Oryctolagus cuniculus: one gene and its partner. The main gene of each other region encodes a partner of the protein of the gene in region 2 in a complex. Links are inferred from orthologs where the notes say so. Each region holds a gene or a part of one and is shown on either strand. Other genes may lie near its edges. The genes, in order: CHCHD6 and IMMT.

The links.
Region 1: IMMT (region 2) and CHCHD6 share a complex: the UniProt entries of both Homo sapiens proteins name them as parts of the mitochondrial contact site and cristae organizing system (MICOS) complex. The link is inferred for Oryctolagus cuniculus from reciprocal best matches to the Homo sapiens genes IMMT and CHCHD6.

The regions. Positions count from the first base shown.
Region 1 is NC_091441.1:109,683,137-109,699,475, forward strand, and holds the start of CHCHD6 (MICOS complex subunit MIC25), read left to right. Parts: upstream 1-8,199; 5' UTR 8,200-8,324; coding exon 8,325-8,411; intron 8,412-16,339. UniProt on the Homo sapiens protein: Component of the MICOS complex, a large protein complex of the mitochondrial inner membrane that plays crucial roles in the maintenance of crista junctions, inner membrane architecture, and formation of contact sites to the outer membrane.
Region 2 is NC_091433.1:116,573,715-116,589,621, reverse strand, and holds part of IMMT (MICOS complex subunit MIC60), read right to left. Parts: intron 15,752-15,907; exon of another isoform or gene 15,625-15,751; intron 10,414-15,624; coding exon 10,340-10,413; intron 9,598-10,339; coding exon 9,408-9,597; intron 5,431-9,407; coding exon 5,319-5,430; intron 2,522-5,318; coding exon 2,384-2,521; intron 2,043-2,383; coding exon 1,947-2,042; coding exon of another isoform or gene 1,939-1,946; intron 1-1,938. UniProt on the Homo sapiens protein: Component of the MICOS complex, a large protein complex of the mitochondrial inner membrane that plays crucial roles in the maintenance of crista junctions, inner membrane architecture, and formation of contact sites to the outer membrane.

The DNA of each region.
Region 1 (16,339 bases), on a different chromosome or scaffold from region 2:
ACCCTGGGCTGTTCTGCCCGTTCGGCAGCGCCCATTCGGCTGAATAGTCAAATCCGGGCCTGAGGCTGAAGCTTAAAACTCTGAAATGCAGAAGAGGAAATTGGGGCCAAGGAAGCTGATCCCGACTTTCTGCTTGAGCCACTTATGCTTTTCAGCTGATTCATTCCATCTGGAGGCTTTGTCTCGCACTGGGAATTTCCTGGATTTGAGGGCGAGCAGGTGGGGACCCGAGCACAGCGCTGTGGAACAATGTTGTCTGGACTCCCCCTTCTGTTTCTGCAGTGACACACGCACAGGCGTGCACACACACACACACAGCCATTCACTGTGATGTGCTGCACAACACATGCCCTGATGCAGACACGGCACACTCACTGCACACGCGCAATCCTGCTGACAGTCCGGTGCTGGCACGAACAGATGGCCGCTCCAATGGGGTACTGGAGGAGGCTTGAATACAGGGACCGTCCACAATGGCGCGGGCAGAGCTGGGTTTACTGAACGTACACCCAGCCCAGGCAGCTCGAAAGTAGCCATAGCTATGCTGCAGCCTTCAGCAGGGCCCGGCCTGGAGGTGGGCGTGTCACCCCGATGGTCATGCTGTCCCAAGCAGTAGCTTCCTGGAGAGATTTCCTTTGTGCCACATGAGGACAGAGTCCCTTTTTGCAGGGACGTCCACCCAGCGTGGTGACCAGGTGGGCAGGTGCAACGCTCAGAGGCAGTGTGCTGGCACCAGGAGGGGAGTGTCATCACCATGCTGTGTGCGCCAACAGGCAGGGCTTTGATCCTGGGTGGACCTAGACCTTCACCACGCTGCCCACCACGTGGGGGAGCCTGTGCTTCCTGCTGGCAGATAGACCTCAAAGAAGTAGTGAGAGGGAGCGCCTGTTGTCTGCCAACTTCCTGTTGGAAACACACAGTGTGGATGGAGCAAGACTGTTATGCTAATAAATATGCCTGCCGTGAGAAACAGAAAGCCAGAGAAAGGCGTTTTCCCAAACCAACAATCCCTTCTAGGGACTGGGCAGTGATGAGGGTGACGTAGGACCTCCCGAAGACTGCAGGCCCGATGAAGACCACCACATGGGCCCTCCTCATCTGGTCCAGGTGGGCTTTCAGGGGCAGCCTCATTACCAACCATCTCCAGGGCGGCTCCAGAGACCCTCCACTGTGGCATCAGAGAGGGCTTCTCACAGCACAGCTCGGGGCAAATCCCTCCCCTGCTCCCAAAGTCAAGAATTCTCCTTTGCATGCCTCTGGGGCAGAACTCTGCACCTGGCATTCAAGGCCTTCATCCTCGCGAAACAACCAAACTTTCGAGAATTCCCCATCAAATCCTATTCTCTTTGTACCCTGGGCCCCGACATGTCCATATCCTCCCCCACGTCCATCCTCTCCTTAGCACCTGTTAGTCCACTGCTCTCTAACAAAGAAATTCTTGGCAAGGGTCCAAGGATGGATTTGGGGGCGGGGCGTCTATTTGGACTGTTTGAAGCAGGCCCAAATACTTTTGCAGGAAACTATTTAATGCAACTCAAAGCACTAATGACTCAGCCGAGCCTTTTATTGAAGATTAACCTGGAGATGGAAGAGAAGAATTGGTCACATCATGAAGAAGAAAATCTATTCATCTGCCACAGTGGCATAATAAAAATAGATATTTGGTCTTTCTGCTCAATTCCTGGAACAGAATTCCTAAAACCCTTCCAATTTCCTAGGTGATAAGACTATATTTTGTTATTCATAATGAGCCCCTTTGGGGCACACTGGGGTTTATGCTAATGGGGTGACTCAGAGTGGGACTCCTAGACAGTCTCAGGATGGGGGTGCCGGTAGCCAGAAAGATCAAATTTGGGATTAGAGGGTAGGGGGCTTTCAATCCATCCCCCTACCTTCTGGGAGGGGCAGAAGGGGGCCTAGAGATTAAGTTCAATGAAAGGTCTAGGACAGATTCAGAGAGCTCCCGAGTTGAGGATCAGGTTCATGTGCCAGGAGGGTGGCACAGCCTGACTCCATGGGGGCGGAGGCTTCTGCCTGGGACCCTTCAAGATCTTGACCTATTTATACCACACTATCTGGCTGTTCAGTTATATCCCTGTGATAAGGCATAAGTATAGTACTTTCGTGGGTTCTGTGAGTCTAGTGAGCTACCTAACCTAAGACAGGGAGGTGCTGGGAAGCTCCGAACTGGTGCTCAGCTGGGTGGAAATGCGGCTTGTCTGGGCACCACATGTGTGGCTGGCATCTGAAGTGAGGGGCAGTCTTGAGCAATCGAGCCCCGAATCTCTGAGCTCTTCTCTAATCCTGGGAGTGTGAGAATTGATGTGGAAGACACCCAGGTGATGTCTGAGAACTGGAGATGGTAGTTGATAAGAATAAACTACATAACTGATGTCAGGGGGGGAAAAATTATGCTTTTGATGCCAGAAGCCATTGCTACCACTTTCAACCATAACCTCTCTTCCCAAATTTTCTCTCGCTAGCAAATTTCTATCTTATCTCCTTCCTTCTCTCCAAACTCCACTCCTCCAGCTGAGCTGGCTCTGCTGCTTCTTCCTACTTCCGCCTCTCAAAATCCGCGCAGGTTGTACCCAGCTGAGCAAAAGCCTCAACGGGTCACCTCAGCAATTTCAAGCATAAAAACATCTCCAGTTCAGCTGCTTCCAGTGCTTCAGGCCTGCGGGGAGGGAGGGGAACAAGGGGCTCAACTGCTCCCATCCCACAGCTGAGCCCCAGGTTCAGGAAGGCGAGGACTAGCAAAGAGCTAGGAAGGGCTCGGCGCCACCTGCTCCTTTAAGCCCTTCTCCTCACTGGAGTCTGGACTGTGGGCTCACCCACTCTTCCAGTGAGCTACAGTGGCAGCCCTCAGTCCACCTCCTTTTTTCCCACCAGGCCTCCAATCCTCACCAGTGGTTTCCAAACGTTAGCCCTGAGGAAGTTTTTAATCAGTGCACAGTGAAATGGAAACGGGGACAAGTGAACAGCGTGGCAAACCATTTACCTTCAAAGGCATGTGCACGCCAGCATCACTGGGTGATGATTTTACCACCTAGAAACACATCTTGCTAAGGCAGAAGACCCATGGGGTATGGTTACTGTACAGCGGAAGTCACGAATTGGCTGTTGTCATGACACATCTGTCCATAGGAACGCACTGGGACTGTCGTCCCTCAGTGCTATCTTAGTGTGGGAAGTCTCTTGGTTGTTCTAAGCATATTTTGCGTAGATAGGTCTTCGCAGGAAGCCATACAGGATCAGTGAGTTGTTCACTCATCAGCCAGCTGTTGGCACTAGGGCTTACTTGTTGGTCTCTTTCCTGCTCCTCCCGGGAGAAAATACTGCTCAGCCCCTGGAGGTGGCTGGGGCCGTGCAGCTACTTCTAGCCATGCCATGTCCGAAGGGGAGGGAATTCTGTTTCCCAGGCCTGAGAATGGGGGTACTAACACTCCCAGGGGGATTTTGAGGACTCAATACATTAGTCATAGATTAACCATGCGGAAAGCAGGTGTGCCCGTTCCGTGGCGCCTGGCACCGAGAAGGTGCTCAAAAACAGCCATTTCTCCTCCCCTCCTTTCCTCAGCATTCCTAGGCCACCGCCTCTACTCAAACCCGCATTCCACTGTGGGGGTCTAATGTTACATCATCTCCACTTATTTTCTCCGTGATTTTCCCACGTGTGCAGTGTGGCGATGGAACCAAGGGCTGTCACGAGGCTCATCTGTGCTGCTGTCAGTGTAACCCCACTCTACGTTTGTGGAATTCCAAGACTCCCAAAGGACTTCCCACAGTGCAGGACCGTGGAGGTGAGGCCCAGGTAGTGTTACGACCACCCCTTGGCTCTGGCCTTTATTGTGTAGAATTAGTTCAAGGTGTTAACTATTTCATCATCTGCTCCAGAAGAAAGTGTCAGCCCTTTCTCCAATTGTTCCGAATCCCATTTACAGTGGTAGAAGCCATGCAGGCATCCAGGAGCCTTTGAAAATATTTGGAACAGGTAGTGGCTGTCAGTAGGGCCTCACTTGGATTTTGTTTGCCAGCTGGTGAGCCTCCCTGAGCTGCTATGGTGTGGACAGCTGATGGTTCACAGATGCCCCTTTTTCTGAAGAATCTTCCTCAGGTGCCCGGGGTGGGAAATGGAAGGCAGCCCCCTTTTCCCAAATTGGGGCCATCTTCTACTGCTTTCGCAGGCCATAGCAGAGAGCTGGATAGGAAGCAGAGCGGCTAGGATTAGAACCGGCACCCATATGGGACGCTAGCACTGCAGGCCGGGGCTTTAACCCGCTGTGCCACAGTGCCGGCCCCTACTTTTTTTTATTTATTTATTTTTGCTCTTGTTTCCTGTGCTTTTGGTGTAATGTTGGAAAGAGTCATTGCCAAGAGCAACGTCAAGTAACTGTTTCCGTATCTTCCCTTCTAGGAGTTTTATAGTTTCAGATCTTACATTTAAGCTTTTAAGCCACTGTGAGTTGATTTTCCTATATGGCCTAAGGATCCAATTTCACTTTTTGCATACTTTCTTTCCCCTACTGTGTGGCACTCTCATCAGAGATTAGTTGACTTTATTTGCATGAGGTTATCTCTGGGCCCTTTTTACTGCTCTGTTGGTCTATATGTCTATATGTTATGCCAGTACCACACTGTTTTGATTATTATAGGTTTGTAATATAATTTGAAATCAGGGCATGTTATTTTCCCAGATTTGTTCTTTTTCATGATTGCTTTGGCTATTTGGGGTTGTTTGTGGTTCCATAATGAAATGTTAGGATTTTTGAAGAATTTCTGGGAAAAACACTATTGGAATTTTGAATACAATTGCACTAAATCTGTAGATTGCTTTCGGCAGTGTGGACATTTTACCAATGTTAATTTCTCCAATCCAAGAACAGGAGATATTGTTTCATCTATTAGTGTCCTCAGCAACACTTTTCATCGTCTTATGGTTTTCAGTGCACAGATCTTTCCACTCCTTGGTTAGGTTTATTCCTAGGTATTTTATTCCTTGTGATGGTATTGTCAATGGTATCATTTTTAAAAAAGATATGCTTACTTAAAAGGCAAAGTAACGGTGCGGGGGGGGGGGGAGTGAGAGAGGAAGAGAGATGGATCCTCCATTCCTTCATTGGCTGGTTCACTCCAGCGGGGGGTAGACCAGGCCAAAGCCAGGAGCCTGGAACTCTTGGGTGGGTGGGTGGGTGGGTGGGTGGTGGCAAGGGCCTGAGCACATTAGCAGGAGGTTGGATCAGAAATGCAGAGCAGCTAGGACTCCCAAAGGCACACTCTGAAATGGGATGTGCCTACCCCAAGGCGCAGAGTGGCTCAACCTGCTGCACCACAATGCCCACTCCTTTTTTTTTTTTTTTTTCTTGACAGGCAGAGTTACAGAGTGAGAGAGAGACAGACAGAGAGAAAGGTCTTCCTTCCATTGGTTCACCCCCCAAATGGCCGCTATGGCCGGCGTGCTGCACCAATCAGAAGCCAGGAGCCAGGAGCCAGGAGCCAGGTGCTTCCTCCTGGTCTCCCATGCAGGTGCAGGGCCCAAGCACTGGGCCATCCTCCACTGCCTTCCCAGGCCACAGTAGAGAGCTGGCCTGGAAGAGGAGCAACCGGGACAGAATCCGGCGCCCCGACCGGAACTAGAACCCGGTGTGCCGGCGCCGCAGGCGGAGGATTAGCCTAGTGAGCTGCATGCGCCGGCCAGCCCACTCCTATAATCTTTTCTGGATAGTTTGTTGTTAGAAATCAACAATAGATTTCTCTCTGTCTCGCTCTCTCACTGTCCACTCTGCCTGTCAAAAAAAAATTAAAAAAAAAAAAAAAAAAAGAAATCAACAATAGGGGGGGCCGGTGCTGTGGTGCAGCGGGTTAACGCCCTGGCTTGAAGCACCAGCATCCCATACGGGCGCTGGTTTGAGTCCTGGCTGCTCCACTCTGATCCAACTCTCTGCTATGGCCTGGGAAAGCAGTGGAAGATGGCCCAAGTCCTTGGGCCCCTGCACTGGCATGGGAGACCCGGAAGAGAATTCTGGCTCCTGGTTTTGGATTGGTGCAGCTCCGGCCACTGTGGCCAATTGGGGAGTGAACCATCGGATGGAAGACCTCTCTCTCTCTCTCTTTCTCTCTCCTCTCTGTGTAACTCTGACTTTCAAATAAATAAATAAATAAATAAATTTTTAAAAAAAAGAAATCAACAATAGGAGGAATTTTTGAAAATTCACAAATGTGAGGAAATTAAACAACACATTCCTGAACCACCAATGGGACAAAGAAGGAATCAAAAAAGGGAGAAATTTATTTATCTGGAGACCAACAAAAATGGAAACAAAATATACCAAAACTTACAGGATGCAGCAAAACTGTTTTTAAGAAGGAAGTGTATAGTGATAAACACTACATGAAGAAAAAGACAGATCTCAAATAAACAACCTAACTTCATACTTCAAGAAACAACAAAGAAAGGACAAACAGCCAAAGACAGAACAAGGAAAGAAGAAAGATCAGAGCAGAAATAACTGAAATTTCCAGAAATCAAGACAATGAACAATAACAAAACTCAGAGTTGTGTTTCTTAAAGATCAACAGAGCTGACGGCCTTTAGCTAGACGGACCAAGAAAAAAAGAGAGAGAGAGTACCAAGTAAAACTAGAAATGAAAGGAGACTTTATAACTGATATCACAGAAATACAAAGGATCTCATAATAGATGTCTTCACTATGAACCATTATATACCAACAAACTAGAGAACCTAAAAGAGATGGTCACAGTCCCAGGTATATACAATTTAGCAAAACCGAAACACCAAGAAAGAACATTTGAACAGAACAGTAGCAACTAAGGAGATTCAGTTATGGAAAACCCCCCAGCACAGGAAAGCCCAAGACCAGATAGGAACGCATCCTTCCTTAGCTTCCCCCACCTTGGCCTTGACCTGCTTTCTTCACTTTCTTCCCCCGGGGAACTCCCAGAACAAACCGCTGGCAGCAAATCCCCATGCAACCCCGCACAGAAGGAGGAAATGGGGCTGTACCCTGAGTGAGGCCTCTACTAACCACCCCAGCCTGGGAATGTTCCCGGCTTCTCTGTACTGAGCTGTTTTCAGCCTCAGGGCATCTCACTGGTGTCTCCCCCTACCCTCTCCCCTGCATGCCCTTCTGTCCAGGTTGCCCAAAAGGGGCTGCCCATAATTCTTCCTGCTTCCGGAAACAAGCTAGAGTCTCTCAGCCCCAGATTCCAAGCTGAGTCTCAGGGTCACTTTGGTGAATCAACGCCATTGAGCAACGGAGAGGAACGAGAGGGGGCCTCATGTAAGGTAGTGGCTACGAGTGGCAGTCCTCTGCACCAGTACACATAGGTCCCGGGGAGAAGCATCAGCACCACATTCGGTCCAACGCACTCAACACGCACCATCTATGCTCCTTGGACAACGTCCCTCAGACCTTCAGGGCCACTGCTGCCTGTCTCTCAAGGCATCTAGAGTAACATCCCAACCCCGACCCCGTCTTGCGAGACCCTCCCCGCTCCTCCGACCTCACGGCCAGGGCTCCCCTCGGCTCCCTCCCTGCTGTCCAGCCACGCCGTGGGCCTCTTTCACGCGTCCCCACGGCCAGGCCCTGGTGCGTGTGGGTTTCCAGGGGAGTTCCTCTCCCACCTTGTCCGTAGGTCTCAGTTCAAGCGCTTCCTCCTCGGTGACGTTGCTGGGACCCCTCAAATTCAGGGACTCCTGTTACGTACGTTATGGCAGAACCATGACGCCATTTTCTGTTTATCACAGTTTAGTTTAGTTTTTTTTTTTTTTTTGCTTGCTTCGGCTCCAACACCGTAAACTTGTGGGAACAGGGCACTCAGTGCCTGTTTGCTGAAGAAATGAAGCCATGGACTGCCAGAAGTTCGCCTCAGCTTCCTGGGTGGGCTTCTTGCTTCAGAATACCTACTTCATCTCTGCTTCAAGAGTGAATTTTCTAAAGCAGGCCCTTGGCCATGCCTCCTCTGCTCGGTAGTCCGCCATTCCAGGCTCTCCTGAAAGCACCCAGCCTCTACCTCAGCCTAACATGCCATCTATGGTCTGACCACCACGCCCCCACGGTGCTCCCTGCATACGGAAGAGGCCTCGGACCGGCAGAACTACAACTCCCAGAAGGCATCGCGCAGCCGCCGCCATCTGATTGGTCGATCTCCGGGTGGCGGCCAATAAAATTTGGTTTTGTTGGCTTGCACCCCGCGACAGCCTGAGTCCTGGGAAGCGCAGGACGCCCACCGCGCGGCGTCTGCCTGGTTGCTCTGGAGCTGTGGAGCGTGGCCGCCCGCCGGCTTCCTGCCCTCCTCCAGCCATGGGGAGCACGGAGAGCAGCGAGAGCCGCAGAGTGTCCTTCGGAATGGACGAGGAGGAGCGGGTCCGGGTGCTGCAGGGCATCCGGGTGAGCGGCCACCTGGGCGGGGGCGGGCGCGGAGGGCACCCGAGGGCGCGGAGGCCGTGGGCCCGGCCTGAGGGACGGTGCAGAGCGAGAGCGCTGCCGGGGGTGTTTGCCGCCGCCGGACGCTGGTGGAGTCCTCCCGCTGTGTGAAGGGGGCGTGAAGCTCGGGAGACGCCCGGGGCCCCCTCCAGGAAGAACCTGCGTCTGGACGCGAACCCGAGGCTGGCGATCTTCAAGCTTCACCGCACTGGCCTGGGGGAGAAGGAATGGGGAGCCGGACACACGGGGAGGCCGCTGGGATACGAGGGAAGCCTGGAGCCGCATTCCAGCCCCGATCGGGGGCATTTTTACGTTTCTTTTGTTGGGCCGCCGCCGCTCCCCTCACCTGCTAGGTGCGCGCGTCTGGTTCTGTGTGCGGGAGATGCAGCCGGTCCCGAGCGACAGCAGCTGCCTTGTGACCGCGGCTCTCAGCTCCCACTCTTGCCCCGACTGCCTGTTGTCCACAGCGCACCCAGAGGGGCACCTGCAGCATCGTGAATCACATCGCGTACCCACCCCTTGCTTACAACCCCCCGAGCGATTCCTAGCCCATCACCATGCAGACACTTCTTACCCGGCCTGCTGACCTCTCACCCCCGGCTAGTTCCCTATTCCCCAACTGCTGCCTATTGGCTAGCCCCTTGTTCTTCCTGGAACATGCCAGCTTGCTCTAAGCACAGGATCTGAGCACCAGCTGGTTTTTTGGTGTGGGTGTGTGTGTGTGGGGGATTTGTTTATTTGAAAGGCAGAGTCACACATAGAGGAGAAACAGAGATCTTCCATCCTCTGGTTTGCTCCCCACCTTGGCAGCACCCCATCCTGGCCTGGGCCAGCCTGAAGCCAGCAGGCAGGAACTGCATCTGTTTGCCCACCGTGGCTGGAGCTCAGGCACTTGGGCCAGCCTCAGCTGCTTTTCCAGGCACCTTAGCAGGGAGGTGGATCCCAAATGGAGCAGTCAGGACTTGAACCAGTATCTCTAGGGATGCTGGCACTGCAGGCTGTGGCTTAACCCTCTGGGCCACGACATGGGCCACAACTGTTGTTTTCCTCTTCTACTTTTTGTTAAGTTAAATCCTGGTCATTCTAGTTAAGTGTCATTTGAGATGCCTTCTTGACCACTGTACGTAGGAAGTGTCTCAGCTCGCTGTCACACATACATTTTCATAGCATTCATCATACTTTGAACTTTTTTTTTTTTATTTTTGACAGGCAGAGTGGACAGTGAGAGAGAGAGACAGAGAGAAAGGTCTTCCTTTGCCGTTGGTTCACCCTCCAACGGCCAGCATACCGCGCTGATCCTAAGGCAAGAGCCAGGTGCTTCTCCTGGTCTCCCATGGGGTGCAGGGCCCAAGCACTTGGGCCATCCTCCACTGCACTCCCGGGCCAAAGCAGAGAGCTGGCCTGGAAGAGGGGCAACCGGGACAGAATCTGGTGCCCCGACCGGGACTAGAACCCAGTGTGCCGGCACCGCAAGGCGGAGGATTAGCCCTGTGAGCCGCGGCGCCGGCCTGAACTTTTTCTTAGTAACTGTTTCGCTCTAGCATGTAAACTCCTTGAGGTGAAGGGTCTTGTCTAATTCTCCCTCTACCCCAGAACCTAGGATGATAAAAGCAACTCATTTTTTTTTTAAAGATTTATTTATTTATTTGAAAGAGTTACACAGAGAGAGGTTCACTCCCCAATTGGCCGCAAAGGCCAGAGCTGTGCTGATCAGAAGCCGGGAGCCAGGAGCCTCCTCTGGGTTTCTCACGCAAGTGCAGGGGCCCAAGGACTTGGGCCATCTTCCACTGCTTTCCCAGGTCATAGCAGAGAGCTGGGTCGGAAGTGGAGCAGCCGGGACTAGAACCAGCGCCCATATGGAATGCCGGCGCTTCAGGCCAGGGCGTTAACTCGCTGCTCCACAGTGCGAGCCCCAGTAACTTACTTTTCAGTGTGTAATGGACCCATAGGTTGTGCCAAACCTTTAGAGAGATCATTACATTTAATTTTCAGTAGTCTTATTAGTAAGGTAGAATTATGTTCATCCATTTTATAGATATATAGGAGAACTGAGGCACTGGAGAGCAGGGATTGAAGCAGGCCAACCAAATGGCCTGTTCATTGAGCTACCATGCCGTACTGTGCCTGTGCATGGCCCACAGTGGGTACTTTGTACATAAGGGTCAAGTAGTTAGATGAGTGCACCTGTTAAGTGGACTGTGTTTAAATGGAATGCATGGAGCTTGGTATAGGTGAGATTAGTAATTAAGTGGCTCCGAGAAAGATTGAGAGATCTGACTTCTAGGCCCAGGTGCTCATTAGTTGTGTGACCTTCCTTGGGTGAACCATTTAGCTTTTGAGCCTCATTTGCCCAGTTTAAAAAAAAAAGATTCAATGCAGGTGTGTGAGAGATGATCCTAGGAGCTGCGTGGGGTAAAGTGGAGATGTGGGAAGGTGTTTAGAGAGCGTGTAATCTTTGTAGAGCCTCTTCTTTGCAGAGTAGAGGGCTTGGCACATTGGGTGCTGTCTAGGTGTAGTACAGTGTTGTCGACTTGGCTGTGGCAAAGATAAAATAGGGAGGAGATGGCTAGAGCTGAGAGGGGCAACGACCTGAATTGGAATTTAGAAAGGCCTCCTTGCTCTGTGTGCCCCTTAGTCTCTTATTTTGGGACATGTTGGAAAATTAGCCTGGAGTTTTCAAAGGTTTAGGTTCAACCTTTGGAGGTGACTTTTTTTTGGGGGGGGGGACGATAGGCAGAGTTAGAGAGAGACAGAGAAGGGAGAAAGGTCTTCCTTCCGTTGGTCCACTCCCCAAATGGCCGCTACAGCCAGTGCGCTGTGCCAATCCGAAGCCAGGAGCCAGGTGCTTCCTCCTGGTCTCCCATGCAGGTGCAGGGCCCAAGCACTTGGGCCATCCTCCACTGCACTCCCGGGCCACAGCAGAGCTGGGCTGGAAGAGGAGCAACCGGGACAGAATCCGGTGCCCCAACCGGGACTAGAACCCAGGGTGCCGGCACCACAGGCGGAGGGGGATTAGCCTAGTGAGCTGTGGTGACTTTTTGAGGATTATATAAGTTGCAGGCTTAGGTTTAGAAATTTGCCCAAGATGTTACTGGAGTTGCTCTGTGATTTTTTTTTTTTTTTTTTTTTTGACAGGCAGAGTGGACAGTGAGAGAGAGACAGAGAGAAAGGTCTTCCTTTACTGTTGGTTCACCCCCCAATGGCTGCTTTGGCCGGTGTGCTGCGGCCAGCGCACTGCGCTAATCCTAAGCCAGGAGCCAAGTGCTTCCTCGTGGTCTCCCATGCGGGTGCAGGGCCCAAGCACTTGGGCCATCTACTGCACTCCCGGGGCACAGCAGAGAGCTGGACTGGAAGAGGAGTAACCGGGACAGAATCCGGCGCCCCCACTGGAACTAGAACCTGGGGTGCCGGCGCCGCAGGTAGAGGATTAGCCTATTGAGCCGCGGTGCTGGCCGACTTCTGGGACTTTAATCCAAATCTTTTGGGTAGAAAAGTCAGCCTTTTCCCACTGTTCCACTCTTACGCCCGTGGCAGCCTGGAAATTTGTGACCTGTTCTGATAGGGACGCTGGTGCCTCACTTAGTTTTTTCAGAGCTTTTAAACTAGAAGGAACTTTGGCGATTGCTTCCTTTCCCACCCAGGCAAACTACTCAGAATACATAACTCGTCTGGAGGTGCACCGAGAGGTACAGGGCCCCACATTAGGAGAGTCCCATCTGTCCTGTTTGTGCACTGGTTGGAAAGAGGAAGAACGAAGAAAAGCAGGTGTGGTATTGGAATGTTTGGTGCAGGAGCTTTTCCTGTTAGCAGATTACCTGAATGTTGAGGGGTTCGCCTTGTCTTCAGACAGGCAAGCAAGAATCAGTAAAAGAGATGGTGAGGGTGACACAGGAGTCACCAAAATGAACAAATGCACATGCAGTGGGGGGAAGCAGCTGAAGAAGAATGTTTGCCCCACTCTTACAGAGAAAGTCACCTATTCTGAAAGACTCCTTGAAGGCAACCCCAGAGGCAGGGCCTAGACAATGCCCTAGTCCCCTTAAAATGAAGCACTAGGGCCGTGTTGGTGCTTTAACTAGTGTGTTCAAGCCCCAATTCCATGGGAGGTAAAAGTTTTAATTAGTGCAAGATGCTGCAGTTATATTCACCTTTATTCAGACCAAGCATGCATGAAATACCTAGTTTTTTTTTTTCCAACCAGTACATTTAACCTCATTGTCCTATAAGAGAAGACACACATATGACAGTGATGTCCTGTACATGGTTTTCCTCTTCCCATCCCATGTAAGCAACCATCTTTGGCAAATGGTTGTCAACGTCCAAATTCCACGCTGTCCTCCAGCCTCGTCCCCTTTCCAGCCTCTTGGCTCCCCAGTGTTCCAGTCCCTTCTGGAGCCTGCTTCTTCTGCCATGTTCCCACACTCGGTACACCTCCATGCTAGACAACTTTTCCATTGCTCATTGTTCCTATGAGGCCGATTGTGGACCATTGTTGAGGGGCAGAGCAAGAAAGGTATAGTCAGCCACACAAAAGGCAGTCCCCAAATGTGGCAGTGGCAAAGAGTCTACATGCCAGAGCACTGTACCCACAGCTGCCACGTACCACCTCAGCAAATTTTTTAAAAATATATTTTATTTTAGTGATCTTGCATCTGCTGGTTCGCTCCCCAAGTGGACACAATGGCCAAGGCTGAGACAGGCCGAAGCCAGGAGCTCCATCCAGGTATCCCATGTGGCTGGCAGGAGCCCAAACACTTGGGCCATCTTCTGCTGCTTTTTCCATGTCATCAGCAGGAACTGGATCGGAAATGGAGTGGCTAAGAGAAGAACCCGGTGCCCATAGGGATGCTTGCGTCACAGGCAGCGGCTTCACCCTCTTTGCCACAGCACTGGCCCCCAGCGAATGCTCACTGTGAACATGTTTCTTGGACTGGGTCTAGCCTTGCAGAGACAATAAGGAACAAAGCCAGGGCCCTTTCCACTCTGTAGACAACCTAGTCAAGGGAATGGACCAAAAAGAAAGTTAAAACAGCTGGAAATGTGAAAAAGGAATAAAAAAGGGTACGGGGAAATGGGGCTCATCTGCCTGAGGTGGGGTGTCAGGTAATGCCTCCCTGAGGAGGTGACACGGATGGTATGACCTGAGCTGCTCTGGCAAGAGTGAGCCTGCGCCAAGCAGCGTGCCAAGTACGTTCAGATGCTAATCCTGTGAGGGGCTCATCATCCCCGTTTCAGAGGTGAGAAGCAGGTTCAGTGAGATGAAGTGACTCAAGGTCACGGAGTGAGCTGGTGGTAGCCCTGGAGGCTCAGGCCCTCCGACTCCATAGCCTTTGTGCTTGGCACCACCAGGGATTAGGAGGTTGGGCAGTGTAGGGCAGGCTTGGAGGCCAGCCTGGGCGGTCCTGGATGTTATCCTGGAGGCAGTGTTCTGGAAAACTAGTATCCAGTGATGCTGATTTTTTCCCCTTCTTTTTTAAAAACAGCTCTAGTGAGATGTATTTTACATATCATTAAATTCACTCATTTCAGTATTTTTTAGTACAGTTACAGAATTGGGCACCCATCACTAGAGCTCAATTTTAGAACGTGTACAAGACCTAAAAAGCTATCTTGTGCCTATTTGCAGTCACTTGTCGTTAACACTCCTAGTCCCAGGTAACCACTAATCCTCCTGCCTCTTTAAATTTCCCTTCTCTGGACATCGATGTCTTTAGTTTGGCTTCCTTCTCCCAGCACAACGCTTTTGCTTTTGGCTTACTGATGTTGTGTATATTAGTAGTTAATTCCTTTTCACCACTGAATAGTGTCCTGTGTATGGACATACTGCATTTTGTTTGTTTACTCCCTTATTGATAGACATTTAGTTGTTTCTAGTTCCTGGCTATTATGAGTAACGCTGCTGTGAACATTCGTGGACAAGTTTTGTGTGTGTGTGTGTGTGTCGGGGGGGCACGTGTTCATTGTTCATGGATAAATACCTAAGAGTAGGCTTGCTGGGTTGTTCGATTTGTGAATTTGGTGCATTGTTAAGTCTAACTTTTAAAGAAACTGCCCAAGTGTTTTCTAAAGTGATGGTATGATTTTATATTTTCACCAACAGAATATGAGGATTCGTTTCTCCACGTCCTCACCGATACTTATTGCTGTCTGCCTTTTTGATTATTGCCAATTCTAGTGGTTGTGAAGTGATATTGCATTGTGGTTTGAATTTGCATCTCCCTAATAGTTAATGATATTGACTATCTTTTCATGAGCTTATTGGCTGCCCATGTGTTTTCTTTGGTGAAGTGTGCGTTCAAATCTTTTTGTCTATTTATAATTGGGTAATTTGTCTTCTCATTACTGTGTTATTAGATTCCTTTGTGCTGGGTTTAAACCTTTTATTAAATCATGGCTTATAATTTTTTATAGAAGATTTTTGTGACTATGTTCATTTAAGATTATTATCTCTCTTTTTTTTAAGATTTGTTTGTTTGAAAGGCAGAGTTACAGAGAGAGAAGGGAGAGCTCTTCCATCTGCTGTTTCACTCCCCACATAACTGCAATGGCCAGGGCTGGGCCAGGCTGAAGCCAGGAGCCTAGAACTCTATCTGGGTCTCCCATGTGGGAGACCAAGGACTTGCGAGGACTGGGCCCATCTGCTGCTGCTTTCCCAGGTGCATTTGCAGAGAGCTCCATCAGAGGTGGAACAGCCAGAACTTGGATCAGCTTCCATAAAGGATGCCAGTGTTGCAGGCAGCAGCTCAACCAGTGAGCCACAACACTGGCACCTGCAAAATTGTTTTCAATATGTGGCTTCTAATTTCGTAATAGTTTCTGAAGCCCAAATGTTTATAATTTTGATAAAGTTTACTTACCAATTTTTTTCTTTTATTTGTTGTACTTTTAGAGTTGTATCTCAGAAATCTTTGCCTAACTGATGGCCATGGTAATGTCTGTTTTTTCTTCTAAACTTTTTTTAGTTTTAGTAGAGTCTTTTTAAAAATTTATTTGACAGGTAGAGTTATAGACAGTGAGAGAGAGAGAGACAGAGAGAAAGATCTTCCTTCTGTTGGTTCACCTTCCAAAAGGGTGCTGCGGTGGAACTGTGCCAATCTGAAGCCAGGAGCCAGATGCTTCCTCCTGGTCTCCCATGCGGGTGCAGGGCCCAAGCACCTGGGCCATCCTCCACTGCCTTCCCAGGCCACAGCAGAGAGCTGGACTGGAAGAGGGGCAGCCGGGACTAGAACCGGCTCCCATATGGGATGCCGGTGCTGCAGGCGGAGGATTAACCAACTGAGCCACAGCGCTGGCCCCCTAGTAGGGTCTTTAATGTGATCCATTTTAAGTTAATTTTGTGGATGTTGTGAAATAAGGCTGTTGGCAAGATTTTCTGTAAAAGAGCAGATAATAAATGCATTAGGCTTTGTACATGTGCAAGGTCTCTGTTGCAAATACTCATTTCTGCCATTGTAGGTGGGAGTAACCATAGACAATATGTAAATGAATGGATATGCCTATGTTCTAAGTAAGACATTTGTTTATGAAGTGAAGTGATAGGTTGGATTTGACTCATACACAGGAGTTTGCTGAACTCTGTTTTAAATCATTTGTTTTGTTTTGTTTTGTTTTTAGGGATGTGAGTATCTCAGTGAACTTTGTTGATAAGACTATTCTTCCTTGTTGAATTACTTTGAGATCTTTGTGAAAATCCATTAAGCATAAATGTAGCTTTCAGTTCTGGACTCTCAGTTCTGTTCTATTAATCTCTATTTCTGTCCTTATGCAAGTACTGCATTGTGATGTTTATTTAGCTTTATGCTGAGTTTCAAAATTGCGAAGTGTAAGGCCTCCATCTTTGTTCTTCCTTTTTGAGCTTGATTTGGCTGTTTTGATTGTTTACATGTCTATAA
Region 2 (15,907 bases):
TGAAAAAAGAGGTGTGCATTTCCATCCTCAGCAAGAAGCACTACTTTCAAAGTAGTACATAGCAAAGACCTTAAGGAAAAGAATAGACAAACAAGAAAACATGCAAACGAAAAGAGCAAAGGCAGATTGGAATGGACAGTGTTTTTCTACAAAGGATTCCAGAAACAGCAGAAACCAATGTTGTCTCCTATTAAGATCACTTTTCTGATGCCTCAAGAATGTCAAACAGAAACTTTGAAACAAAATTTTTAAGTAAAGCAAGGCATTATTTCATATTAATATGAAAAAATGGTCACTTAAGGAAAGCCAATGAGAAAACTAATTTAATAATTTATATCAGAGGTGACCAAAATGTATCTTAGGTGGAACAACAAAAAAGGTGATTCTGAGAAAAAGAAGCCTAAGCTAGAGATGAACAAACAGAACCTGGAGTGCTACACGTGATACCTATGCAACAAAGAAATGAGGAGAAAGCTAACAATGAGGAAAAACCACACAATCAATGTGAGACTGAAGGTGGACTACAGAGCAGGCGGCATAACGAGGCAAGAGAGGGAAACATGGTAATGTGGTTCCCACAACAGGCTTGTGGTAATATGGACATCTGAGCATACAGTCGTGAGCCATTTCACAGGAGCCACAACAAGTGGACAGCTGAGAGGCTACCTGCTCCTTCAAGCCCTCTTCAAAGGTCTACTCACTGTGATCTGACCCTGGGTAAAAATTACACACCCACATGTGCACAAGCACACACACGCACACATAAAGTTTGGGGGAATCTGAGGGGCAAACAAAATCATGGAAACTTTCATTCCACTCACAAAGACAAAAGGAACTGGACAAAGAAAAAAGGGAGATGAAACAGCAGATACTTCCATCTCATATTTATACCTTAATTCAAGGTGCTTACGTATAAAGGAAGAAAAAAACACACACCAAAAAACAATAAACTCAGTTTGAAACAGTAGAGGATTCTGGAAAAATTAAGAAGGTGGAAAATGTAGAAATATTTCACCTATTAAAAGTCAACTATTCAACAATTCTCAATCATGTGTCACACAGTCAAGAACTCGGAACAATATGAAAAAAGACAAAAACCCAAATTCAGGTAGCCAAACTCATGTCCTAACCCCTCATCATTCTGTCTCTTCCACTCTTTTACATAACCCTAACATCTTGATTCCTCAGAGTATGACAGAACCAATGCAGTAGAAGCAAAGGAGGAGCCCGTCAAGGCAGAACAAACAGTAACAAGGAAAGATCAAAAACTGCAAATAGCTGCTAGATGAATCTAAAACAACAGCTCACGACATCTCCCCAGACATTAATATCTGCCGCACAGTGCAATAAATTGTGTCCCATGTGCTTTGTTCAGTAAGGAAAAATACATTTTTAGCTATCTACTTTTTAAAACCATCAAAAGCCTTAACATAAAAGTGAAACAAAAAGGGATATACTTGCTTATCGCTAGAAACAGTGCCATACAGAAGATCCCACCTCCCACCACCGCCAGGTAAGTGCAGTACTGGAGGGCGAGTCCAGAGGCAGGGGCGCTCATTCAGAAAGTGAGCTGTTCTGACCTTCAGAGGTACTTACACATTCATTACCAACTAAAAGACTCTTAGGCAAGTCACTGAAACATACACAATTTCTGATACACACACACACACACCCCCCCACAGAGCATAAAGAATCTTTAGCACTAGCCATAACAAACGGAAAAAGATCATGGATTACTTGGAATGTTCACCAACTATATACTAATAGCCTTGTACTCTGCACAAAAGAAATTCGGATGTGAAAAACACAAGGGATGAAATTAAAGTGGTGAACAGAGCAATGCCACTGAAGAAAAAGAAACCCGACTGTCAGACGACAAACTTGTGCTGAGGTTTGAGAGCAACTGAGAGTTGATAAGGACTTGAGAAGCTGTTGGATTTACATACACTCAATCTCAACTTGTTCTTGTTTTTCCTGTTGTGCAAGGCGAGCTGCAACTTCTTCAGGTGGGCGTTCCCTTACAGAAGATGAGGATGCTTCCTCTTGCAGCAAAAGTAAATAAGAGTAAATCAAATTTCAGCACACAATTTTCACAGCTCACACCATCGTTCACACTTGTCAGTTACATCAATGCAGAGCATTTTTCTGGCGAGAATTCTAAAACTGCATCACTCTTAATGATTCCAAAATGCATAAGGGATCAACTCTTAATCTTCTTGGTTTCAAAGAGTTATTAGGACTTTTAACAAATTTCTTGAACCAGTCTAAAAACTTAAGAGCAGTAGAAATGTATACTTACATCATGTCTAAGAGTTGCCTAGGCATTAAGTAATTCTCATGAGCCCTTTATCTATAAAACAGTAAATATAAATAATTAAACTACCTGAAGTTACAGGTGTGGGTTTTCCTCCAGTAATTTCAGGACGATCAATTTTTACTGGTTCTTCATGCTGAACTGCAGGGGCTGGGACTGATGGCGTATCACCTGCTGCAGAAATAATTTGAGCTGCCTCTGTAGGTGCTATAAATATATGTTACTCGTGGCATTTATATTTTTTTGGATTAATAGAGCAAACACGTAATAATCGACTGCTAGAACTGCCCACATTACATCTGACTCCTTAAAAACACAAAGGCATGTAATGCCATACATCTGAATAATATACAAACAGGGGCACCATGCACTGCAAACACAAACTCACACAAATTGAATGATAGTTGGAAAAGCACTAAGACAAAGAAGTCTTGTCAACATTCATCTGCATTTTAACTATCATTACACTCAGGCAAGACTTCCAGTAACAGTACTAATCCTTACCATGTAAGGAAGTATGGGGCCGGCACTGTGGGAAAAGCCGCCGCTTGTAGTGCCACCAGCATCCCATATAGGCCTGGGGTTTGAGTCCCAGCTGCTCCACTTCCCATCCAGCTCTCTGCTATGGCCTGGGAAAGTGGTAGAAGATGGCCCAAGTCCTTGGGCCCCTGCACCCGTGGGAGACCCAGAAGAAGCTCCTGGCTCCCGGCTTCGGATCAGCGCAGCTCCAATTGTTGCAGCCAACTGGGGAGTGAACCAGCAGATGAGAAGACCTCTCTTTCTCTCTCTCTCTCTCTGCCTCTTCTCTCTGTGTAACTGACTTTCAAATAAATAAATAAATCTTTTTTTTTTTTTTTTTTTTTTTTTGACAGGCAGAGTGGACAGTGAGAGAGAGAGACAGAGAGAAAGGTCTTCCTTTGCCGTTGGTTCACCCTCCAATGGCCGCTGCGGCCGGCGCACTGCACTGATCCGATGGCAGGAGCCAGGAGCCAGGTGCTTTTCCTGGTCTCCCATGGGGTGCAGGGCCCAAGCACCTGGGCCATCCTCCACTGCACTCCCTGGCCACAGCAGAGAGTTGGCCTGGAAGAGGGGCAACCGGGACAGAATCCGGCGCCCCAACCGGGACTAGAACCTGGTGTGCCGGCGCCGCTAGGCGGAGGATTAGCTAGTGAGCCGCGGCGCCGGCCATAAATAAATCTTTAAAAAAAAAAAAACATGTAGGAAGTAGACATCAGATTTCTGTAACATGGAAAGAGAATAATGAAGGAAAAGAGTCTGTAATAAAGAAGGGTCACAAAAGAAAGCAAAATTTACCAAAGAATAATTTCTTTTTAAAATGTGTCACAAGTAATTGTTCTTTTTATTAAAGATTTATTTATTTGAAAGTCAGAGTTACACAGACAGAGGAGAGCCACTGGTTTACTCCCCAGATGGCCGCAACGGCCGGAGCTGCACTGATCCGAAGCCAGGAGCCAGGAGCCTCTTCCGGGTCTCCCTTGTGGGTGCAGGGGCCCAAGCAGTTGGGCCATCTTCTACGGCTTTCCCAGGCCACAGCAGAGAGCTGGATCGGAAGTGGAGCAGCCGGGACTCGAACCGGCGCCCATATGGTATGCCAGCGCTTCAGGCCAGGGCGTTAACCCACTGAGCCACAGCACTGGCCCGGACCAAAGAATAATTTCAATTACTCTGAAGAATAGTAGATACTGAAAGAAGACATCTGATCAGGAACAAGATGACACTCAAATACAAGAAGAAAAGTTCACAGTGATGGCAGTAAATTAGGAGCAGAAGTCATTTAATAGAAACACTTCATAGAGAGTTTTAAAAATCAAGGGCTTGCAACTTTAATGACAAGTTTTGATGGAAAAGAAAAAGAAGTAATTCTAGGGACGGAATGGGAGGAGGAACCAATGGATGCAGTTTCCTTTTTTAAATTGAAGGTCTCAGTTAAAAACTCATTAACTAGCTTCCCTGCTTCTGCCCTCAGTCCCTTCTTGGTTCACAACAGCCAGAGTGATCTTACAAAAATTCAAGTCAAGTATTAGCCTCCTGGCTTAGCACCCTCCAACACCTCTTCACACCACTCAGAAATGAAATCTCTTAGCACTGCTTCAAGTACTGACTGCCACAACAGGCCTTCTGCTCCCTCTCTGGTAGGATTTGCTGCTGTGCGTCCCACACTCACTCTACTCCAGCGTTATCTGCTTCTCACTTGAATAAGCCTCTTTCCACTAGCTTCTCTGCCTGGGATGCCTCCCCACCAGCTTTTTACATGACTTACTCCCTTCTCTCTTTCTAGCCTTTCCTCAAGTAACACTTTCCAAGTGAGGCTTTTCTCACCCACTCCATTTAAAACTGCAATACTCCCCTTCTCATACTGACATTTTACTTGATCTCTTTCCCTTAATCCCACCAAGAAATATTAGCAGAGGTTTTTTGTTTCTAAAATGATTTTGTTGATTACTATACCCAATGGTGCCTAGAAGACTGCACATAACACTAAGTGAACCATCTGCCAACAAACATCTGATTGAATCAAGGACAAGTTTCACTATGGAGAAAGCCAAGGAGACTGAATTCATGTTGAACATGTTAGAGTTAGGCAAGTTGTAAATTAGGGTGGGTTTACTGGGAAACCCAAAGATAAAATATATCTGCAGGAACTACAAAAAGACACTTTGATTACTTAAAGAACTGCTGAAGAGGTAGATAAAAGAGGTGGGGGGTGGGGGAGAATAAATCTTAAAACCCAAAGAGGCGAAAAGTCTAGGAGTCAGAGGGAAAAAAAGATAAATATGTTTCAGGCCAGACAACCTATACTGTTTCCTCACTCAGTTCTTCATAATAAAGCTCAATGCTATGTTCAACTCTGAAACTGAGCACAAGAATGACTTGTGAGAGCTGGGGACCAGAAGAGTCCTTCCCCGGGGGCCTTCTCTTGACAAATACATCAAAACAATTCATTTCCCCATAATTTTTAAAGAATGGTTTTAGATAGAAGTACCTGTTGTTGAAGCTGGAGTATCTCCTTTGTGTTTCTGAAGTTGTGAGGCGGGCTGTTTAGATTCTTTCATTACCTCTGATACACTGGAGATTTTTAGTGGACCAGACTGAATCTTGAGGGGAAAAAAAAAAAATTTACATATAATACTGTTTCTAAAAGACAGCACACAACAATTTATAATATTTCAAAGGTCAAGTCTTTCAGGCTTTTAATATGAAATTATGAGTGCTTTACAACAAAAGCATTTTATTAATCACAGTAAGAAAAGTCATCATTACTAGAAAATTTGCAGTTCAAAAATTCTATTCCAAATCACTAATGCATATTTTAGTACTAACAAAAGGTTCTTTTAGGACAAACAATAAAGTATACATATGCCCTTCCCCTTAAAGATTCTTTTACAAATACAACAAGCAGGTGTTTCTATTTACTTTCTAAATCAAATTACAGTGTCAGAAACAAAGTTTACTACAGAATCTGAGTAAAAATGAAAATCAGTTTTTGTTTCTTTAATCTCCAGGATTCATGCAATTACACATCAATTTGTGAGTAATGCTTGCTTTTCTCTTTTCCAGTTACTACCTGCCTTAGATTTAAGGTACTATCCATAAAAGACTTCCAGAGATGTGCCAGAGAAAGTTAAGGAGTAACAGAAATATTTTATTTACCATCTGTGATGTCTCACATTTTGTCAGAACCTGGCAGCATGTCTCAGATATCCCTAAGATGACTACTTACCCACAGGAAACTACAAGAAATATATCCCTTTTATTTTTAATAAAACATTATCATTCCTAAATTAGGAAACACAGGCTCACTGAAACAAGCAAAGCAATACTTGCATACATCAGTGGTTTTACATGGTCTCTTCATTGCTCCTTTCCCTTCCAGCTAGCTCAGGAAGCCCCGGCCTGAAACCTCTCCCTCCACCCCTGTGCATTGCGGGCCTTGCTGTCCTGCACCTTTGGGGCGCATGGCCCTCAGGCCACCCACCCCATGCTTCCTGGCCCTCCATGCTCTTCCACATGGCTGGCTCCTGGTACTTGGTATGAACCCAGATTTCCCTCTCTCTTTTAGATAGGGCCCTCACTCTCCTATACATTTCTCTCACTGAATAAAAAGCTTAAAACTTAAAAAAAAAAAAAAAAAAAAAAAAAAAAAAAAAAAAAAAAGAGACTATCTCAGAATTTAGTCAACCATTCAACATTCCAGTTGTTTATTTTGTCTCACAAACACTGAATCAATGAACATCCAAATAAATAAAAAGTGCTGTTGTATGTTATCTGCAAGATAATTTCTTGGAAAAGGAACTGCTGGATCAAGGTGCTATATTTTTGATATTAACAGATCAATTTCACATACAGTTCTACCAATTCACATTCAAAATAAACGTGTATGAATAAAATCTATTTCTAAAATCTATTTCCAGTAGTTGTGCTATTCCTCTAATTTCTATTCCTGTTGTCAAGAACTGATTTGATTAAAGCAACATAATAGGTAGAAAGCAAATGTTTTCTGACCCTTTCCCATCCTTTTTCCAAATTTTCTTGGCTAGTCTTGTACATCATGAATTCTGCCATATGAACTTTAAAATCATGAGGTCTGGTACCTCACCCTCTAGAAAATGTCATTAGAATTCTTTACCTATTTCTTTGTATGTTTATGTACACATACCGTAAAAACATATTTATGAGACACATAAGAGAAATAACATCTTTCTGACATTAAGTTCCATCTATGAATATAACATTAGTATCCATTCATACAGGTCTTATTCTATGTCTATCAAAAAAGTTTTAATGTCTACATAGTAAGTATTGAGAAAACACTTACTACACAAATAATCATACAGGTAATAAAGCAGATACTCTGAAATAAAATGCACAGTTTTATTTTATGAAAGCAATAAACTGCTGGCACTACGACACAGCGGGTAAAGCTGCCACCTGCAGTGCCGGCATCCCATATGGGCGCCGGTTCCAGTCCCGGCTGCTCTTCTTCCAATCCAGCTCTCTGCTGTGGCCTGGGTTAGCAGTGGAGGATGGCCCAAGTCCTTGGGCCCCTGCACCCACGTGGGAGACCTAGAGGAAGCTCCTGGCTCCTGGCTTCAGATAGGCACAGCTCCGGCCGGCCATTGCAGCCAATTGGGGAATGAACCAGCGGATGGAAGACCTCTCTCTCTGCCTCTCCTCTCTCTAACTCTGACTTTCAAATAAATAAATAAATCTTTAAAAAAGAAAAGAAGCTAAAGCCAACAGGGAAATTAAAGAAAAAAAACTTGAAAGTCTCACTTTCTAGTTATCTTGTGCAGGGGTTGAAATTTGACTCAAAGTGGAAAATATATCAATGTTTTTTTAGGCCTTCACATTTAGATATGGATAACTATTCCAATTTGATTTTTCAGGTAATGAAGAAAGCTGCTAGTAATTTTAACCCCTGACTAAAGAAAATAATTTCATTTTGGCACAAATACTTATTGCCTTGAAAAACAGCACTATCACAGCCTATGTTGTAGAATAACCTGTATCCCTTTCCAACTATACAAATTCTTAAATAAGTATAAATTGGAATTCAATTAAAGATAGTTGATTATATTGCAATCAGATGGCATTCACAAACTTAACTGGATCATATACAAATAATATCTATTAGTAAGAGTTTTCTTATGCTAATAGAAAAATGTAATTTAGCTACCTAGTCTAAAAATGGTGAATATTATTAATATTGTATAATAGAACTGGGAAGACTATACTCTTTTGAAGAGATTAAGGATTTTCACAATTTTCATCAGATTTTACTATTTTGGTCAAATTTCTAGGTATTTAATTTGTAAAAGTTTGCTGTGTACTGGCCTACAGAAACTAGGGTATTGATTTTAAACTTTTGAAGCCAAGTGATCAAGTACATTTGTAATAAAAGTCAATGGATCGAAAAAAAGAAAGAAAAGGATGGCTGAAGTGTGGGGTAGGCAGGCAACCACGGAACACTTGATTTTCTAAATATCATCTTTGTTACAAAATTGGTCCTACATCATTCTACCTACTGGAGAATTGAAGCTCATCCAGTTTTGAATGAATGGATTAGCCATGTCTAGCCTCATCGCATGAAGAATTGCCCAATATCAAAAACCCAAAATTCATACTCTTTAATAAATTGTTACAAGAAGCTATGTTTAAATGAAGAAATAGTTGAGTTTTAAAAATGTTTAATTCTGGCCGGCACCGCGGCTCACTAGGCTAATCCTCCGCCTTGCGGCACCAGCACACCGGGTTCTAGTCCCAGTCGGGGCGCCGGATTCTGTCCCGGTTGCCCCTCTTCCAGGCCAGCTCTCTGCTGTGACCAGGGAGTGCAGTGGAGGATGGCCCAAGTGCTTGGGCCCTGCACCCCATGGGAGACCAGGAGAAGTACCTGGCTCCTGGCTTCGGATCAGCGCAGTGCGCCGGCCGCGGCGGCCATTGGAGGGTGAACCAACGGCAAAGGAAGACCCTTTCTCTCTCTCTCTCACTGTCCACTCTGTCAAAAAAAAAAAAAAAAAAAAAAAAAAAGTTTAATTCTGATGCAGAAAAAGGAGTGAAAATGAAGAGTATGTACAAAGCCTCATGAACAATGAAAGATATTTCTGTCAGCCAATCAAAATGTAGCTGAAACTTCAGTGACTGTTTCACGCTCTGAAAGAAGCCATTGCTAACGTAACATGTGGGCTGCGTCATGACCATTTGACATCTACGGCTGTCAAGTCAGAGCTTGACGGCTGCAACAACGTAGACTGACAGATTCCCCTTCGATCCACAGGGCAACCAGGGTTACTTCCTCCTATACTGCTCCTCTATTTGCCCTTGTGGATCGCACAATTATTTTCCCCATGGTATGCACTTATGCATGTCCAAAAGGATAAACACTCACCTTATAGATTACTACCAGTTCAATTTAAACAGAAATGAAGTACCTCTGACAGGCTGTACTGAATTACAGTTATAATAAAACTTTACAATTTGTTTTTCCAAAATATTTTCAAGATGAAAAGAACCTCCTTTTAAAAGCCTTACATAGGATAAACTGAAATGCTAAACAAACAAACAAACCTCTTACCGGCTTCTTTGGCAGTGGAATACTGTAAGGTGCAGAACCAAGAACCATTTCAAAGAGTTTGTCTGAGTAAGGTATGGTTTTCTCTACACTTTCTCGGAAATGGGAATCCCATTTTGCATAAAGAATAGTGCCACCAATACCTCCACCAACAAACAAAAGGCCAGCTCCAGCAATTTTGCCAGCAGTCAACCTATATCAAAGAAATGGGGAACACATTTATATTTCTTGGCTTTCCTGTATCTATTCTCCAACTTAGGAGAATCAAAGAACTCTGATCTGTAACATCTACTTCTCTACCACTGATCCAGATCACAGCAGCCAAGTTTACTACCACAGTAGCACATCATATTTTTCTGATTTTTCAACAAGTCTGCAACAAAAAACTCCTAACATATAGGGATAACTAAATTTTTTTAGAATACAGTATCTAAGGGAGAAAGAATGAAGCAATCTATCCTTCAACACTTAAAACTCTAGATATTCAAATTATGCAATTTCCTTTAAACTCAAAAAAAAAAAAAAAAAACTACCATGACCTTTTAAGGCTCCTCTCCCTTAATTATATATTGTAAATACAATAAAATTAATCCTTTACAAAAGATCATAAAATATCAAACAGAACACTTTTTCAAGCTACAATATGCTGAGTTCTGCATATAAATCTATTTGCCATGGAACAGAAGATGGCACATGGGAAGGGGCAGCATCTCCACTGGATGCTGATTATCAAAAAACCAAAAGGCATCATAAAAATTTTTCACCCAGAAATACAACAGTGCTCCAGAAGGTCCCTCCAAAGATACCACAGCAAAACTCTAGAGTATATACTTCTTATTAAAAGGTTTTAGGCAGCTATTCCGATATTCCAGGAAAACACACATACACATACACACGCACACACACACAGTCAAAAGCCGAGACATACTACATACCCAGAACTGCCTGAAGTTGAGTATCTTCGGCATGGTCGTAATGGACGGAGGACAAATTTCCCGCAGAGACAACTCTAAAGGAGAAAAAAACATTGCAACCGATAGAGTTAAGAAATGTGGGGCATTTTTAGAGTTGGTAAGGCAGAAACAATACCTTTATTTTAAATGTCTTCAGTAAACAAAAATTTTATTTTCAGAAATCAAAGTCAAGAGACATTTATATTCTTAGAAATGAAACAGTGATGCTTCCTGCACCAAGACTCCTATTAGTAATATTTTTTAAAAAGAATTATGAGACTATGACCAATCAATATTTTTAAGTGCCATGTATGCTAACTATTGCTCAAATACAACTGGGATTTGCCACATGCTTTAACTAGCAAGAAAAAAACAACAGTATAAAATGTCTATTTTACTTAATTTAGATATCTGAAAAATTAGAGTCCAATTAAATACAAAGCATTATAGGCTATATACACATCCATTCATGCAAAAGTTCCAATCTCAGCTTAACTTATCAAAAACCCAAAGTTCCCACCTCTAAGCTAACTTTGTAGACAGTCAATTCCTAGAGGCATTCATCTAAATCTACAAAGTTCATTCTTGGTTAATTCTAGTATATGTATCATTAAACCAAAAGCCAACAGAAAAAAAATATTACCAGATGTGGTAAATGTTCAGAACACTTACCTCCAGATAATCAGCCCAATTCTTATATTATACATAGAACATACTTAAGGCAATATTTTGTGACTTTTTTTTAATCCAACTAAAACATACAAATGCAGATGTTCCTTAATAATAATATATGGATCCTTTAAATTAAGCAAACAAGCACTTAAATACTATTTGGGAAGGTACTGATAACTTGAAACCATTTAAAACTTATCAACTTGAAATTTCAAACTTATTGTAACCATAAACAAAATATTCTTTATACCAAGTAGAAATCAAGCTGCAATAACAGGGAAAATGCTTTAACCAGGTTCCATAACTAACTGTATCTAAGGAACATTGGAAAAACACAAACCTTCTTTTCAAAGTACATTTTAGGGAGCAGGCATTTGGCCTAGCAGAGAAGATGCCCACCACCTGTATCAGAGTATGTCGGTCTCTTATAGAATGGCAAATGCCCTAAACAGCACTCTGGCCTCAGAATCAGCCCTTAAGGAATTCAGCTCTGGCTAAAAAAGGTCCATGAGAGTTTCTCAGGCATGGAAAGCCAAGACACTGTGGCAAAAAAATGACTAAATGAAAGATCTCTGTGAGCGAGATCCCAGCAGAAAGAACAGGCCATCAAAGAAGGAGGTACCTTTCTCTGAAGGGAGGAGAGAACTTCCACTCTATGGCCTAGTCTAAATAAGGTCGGAGTTTATGAACTCAAGAGGCTTCCATAGCCTTGGCAACTCACGACAAGAGCCTCGGGTGATTACTGACTTCATAAATAAGAGTGTCAATTGTTAAATTAACAACAGGAGTCACTGTGCACGTACTCCCCATGTAGGACCTCTGTCCTTAATGTGTTATACTATGGGAATTAATGGTAAAGCTAATATTCAAACAGTACTTTATACTTTGTCTGTGTGGGTGCAATCTGTTGAAATCTCTACTTAGTATATACTAAGTTGATCTTCTGTATATAAAGATAATTACAAATGAATCTTAATGAAGAATGGGATGGGAGAGGGAGTAGGAGATGGGATGGTTTGCAGGTGGGGGGTGGTTATGGGGGGAAAAAATCCAAAAGTTGTATTTTCGAAATTTATATTAAATAAAAGTTAAAAAAACACAATTATGTTGGCCCGATTCCAGTGTGGGCTCCTGATTCCAGCTTCCTACTAATGCAGACCCTGGAAACCAGCAGTTAATGGCTCAAGTAATTTGGATGTCACTCAACATAGGAGAAATGGATTCAGTTCTTGTCTCCTGGCTTCAGCCTGATCAAGCCCTGGTCATTGCAGAAATTTGTGGAGTGAACCACTGGATACAAGGGTTTTCTCTTTCTCTCTCAAATACATACTAAATTAACAAAAAATTAAGTATCTTTACTTTTAAGAAAACATATTCCATGATCACAAGATATATGAAATTATTCTAGCATCACAGGTGCAATTTATATTCTATTTGCCAAAGTGTAGAGGTAAACATCTAACTCATGTTAATCTAACTCGAAAAATCAAAAAATAAACCAAATGTTTTAAAACATGTAAAGCAGACATAATTGGTATTTACAAATATTTCAAGGCAGGCACTGTGGTGCAGTGGATTAAGCTGCTCCTTGAGATGCTCGTATCTCTGGCTATTCTGCTTCTGATCCAGCTTCCTGGGAGATAGCAGATGATGGCTCAAGTGTCTGGGGTCCCTGCCACCCAAATGGGAGACCTGGATGGAGCTGCTGGACCCTGGCTTTGGACTGGCCCAGCCCCAGCTATTGTGAGCATTTAGGGAGTGAACCAGACAATGGAAGATCTGACTCTACTTTTTCAAAAAGATGAAATCATTTTTTCAAAAAAAATTCAATTATTAATGTGTAGAATTCTGAACATCTTTAAACTGCTTTTAACAGAATTTGAGAACACCCAAATTCACATCAGTACTTTTTAACATTTTTCTTTACCCCTGTTTCTTCTTTTATCATAGCTCTCTACCCTCGTAGGAGACCAGGAGGAAGCACCTGGCTCCTGGCTTCAGATCGGCGTAACTCCAGCCATAGTGGCCATTTGGGGGGTGAACCAATGGAAGGAAGACCTTTTCTCCGTCTCTCTCTCTAACTCTGTCAAATAAATTTTTTTAAAAAATTTTTTTAAAAATTAAAAAATTAAAAATTAAAAAAATTAAGAAAAGACTCCTAGTGGATCTTACAACTCAAGTGAGCCATATATATACCCATATATATTTGCAAAATATATTTCACTATAACTAAAGTTCCTAGTATTATATTTAAAATCTGAAATTTTAAATCAAACTTCAAAGTATAGAGTGAAGTCTTCCACAAATTTGTTTCCCAGCCACCTAGTTCCCCTCTTCATAAGCAACTACTGCCATCAGTTTGACCAGAGATATTCTATGCATATTTACCCAAATGTGCATTCTCCTGCCCTTTACCATCTTTACAAATGACACCCCAAACATACACCCTGTTCTTTACTAAGGCTCATTCTAGAATACATATTTTAGGGGCTGGCACTGCGGTGTAGCGGGCAAAGCTGCTGCCTGAAATGCTGGCATCCCATATGGGTGCCAGTTCAAGACCTGGCTGCTCCACTTCTGATCCAGCTCTCTGCTATGGCCTGGGAAAGCAGTGGAAGATGGCCCAAGTCCTTGGGCTCCTGCACCCGCGTTGGAGACCCGGAAGCAGCTCTTGGCTCCTGGCTTCGGATCGGCCCAGCTCCAGCCCTTGCAGCCAGTTGGGGAATGAACCAGCGGATTAAAGACTTCTCTCTCTGTGTAACTCTTTCAAATAAATATTTTTTAAAAAGAATACATAAATATATAAATATATATTTTAGATATTGTATATAAATGTATGAAAAACCTATTAAAAATAGAAGAAAAGCCAGGGCCAGCACCATGGCTCAATTGGCTAATCCTCCACCAGCGGCGCCGGCATCCCATATGGGCGCCGGGTTCTAGTCCAGGTTGTTCCTCTTCCAGTCTAGCTCTCTGCTGTGGCCCGGGAAGGCAGTGGAGGAGGGCCCAAGTGCTTAGGCGCCTGCATCCTCGTAGGAGACCAGGAGACTAGGAGGAAGCACCTGGCTCCTGGCTTAGGATCGGCATAACTCTGGCCATAGTGGTCATTTGGGGGCGAACCAACGGAAGGAAGACCTTTCTCTCTGTCTCTCTAACTCTGTCAAATAAATTTTTTAAAAAATTAAAAAATTAAAAATTAAAAAAAAATAAGAAAAGCCTCCTAGTGGATCTTACAACTCAAGTGATCCATTTATGGATGCTAGTTAATGTACTGTCAACTACCTCCTACTGATGGACACTGAAGTCTCATCTAAATTTTTGTTATCATAAATAATGCTGCCTGAGTAACACTGAAAAGACAATCTTAGGTCAATTCTTTGTATCTTATTGACTTGAAAAGCAGAGTTACAGATAGAGAGAAATCTTCCATCTGCTGATTCAGAGCTGGCCCAGACTGAAACCAGGAGCCAGGAGCTTCTTCCAGGTCTCACACATAGGTGCGAGGGCCCAAGCACTTGGACCATCCTCTGCTGCTTTCCCAGGGCATTAACAGGGGGCTGGATCAGAAGTGCAGCAGCTGGGACTCGAGCCAGCAACCATATTGGATGCAGTTGTAGCAAGCAATGACTCTACTCCCTATACCACAACGCCGGCCCCAAGTCAATTTTTAAAAAGTATTCTTAAAAGTAAAATTTGCCATGATGACAAATACTGTCAAATTAGCCAAACTGCCCTCTAGTAATATGATAGCATAAATTTTCCCACACCTTTCCAACACACTGTTATCTCTTTATCACTGACAATCCACTGGGTGAAGATACAGTGTCTCAGTGTCATTTTAATCACAATTCTCTTCATTATGATTATACTCTTTCCATATTTTTTTCTTCTCTTTCCTCTTACCTGTTAGGAAATTTGGATTTATATATATTTTTATTGCCTTTTCTGTGATTTGTCAGTGTATCATTTGTCCGCTTTTTAAACTAGGTTGATCTTTTTAATATGCCTTTGTCCATGCGTGATTTATAGATATTTTTAATTCATTAATTTATTTATTTGAAATGAAGAGTGACATAAAGAGAAAGAGAGATCTTCTATTGACTGGTTCACTCCCCAGATGGCTGCAGAAGCCAGGGCTGGGCCAGGCTGAAGCCAGGAGCCAGGACTCCATCCTGGTCTTCTACATAAGTGGCAGGGGCTCAACTCGGGTCATCAACAACTGCTGACCCAACTGGTCCATTAGCAGGAAGCTAGACTGGAAGTAGAGCAGCTGGGACCAGAACCCAGGCTCTGGAAGCAGCAGTTGCACACCATACCACCAGCCTCCTATATTTAAAGAAATTAGCCACGAGTCTATTACGTTTTGTCCTGTTTGTAAAGTTTTCTGTTGAGTTTGTGATCTCCCTTTATCTTTGGTCATAGTAGTTTATGTCATGCAGAAATTATTTTATAATGATGCAAATTAATAGTTTTCATCTAATAGTGGGTTTTTCAAGATTGATTTATTTGAAAGGAAGCCTGAGACAGAGAGAAATAGACAGACACAAACAAACACAGAAATATCTTCCATCTGCCACTTCACTCTCCCCAAATACCTGCAACAGCCAGGGCTGGGCGAGGCCAAACCAGAAGTCAAAAACTCCATCCAGTCTCCCACGTGGGTGGCAGCAACCCAGGCAACCGAGCCATCATCTATAGCTTCCCAGGCACATTGGCAGGAAGCTGGATGGGAAGTAGAGGAGCCGGGACATGATCCTAGGCATTCTGATAGAAAATGTGGGCATCCGAAGCAGAGGCTTAACCCACTGTGCCACAACACCCCCCCCCCACCCGATGGCTGATTTTTAAAAACTTAAGCATCTCATTCATTAGCCTACC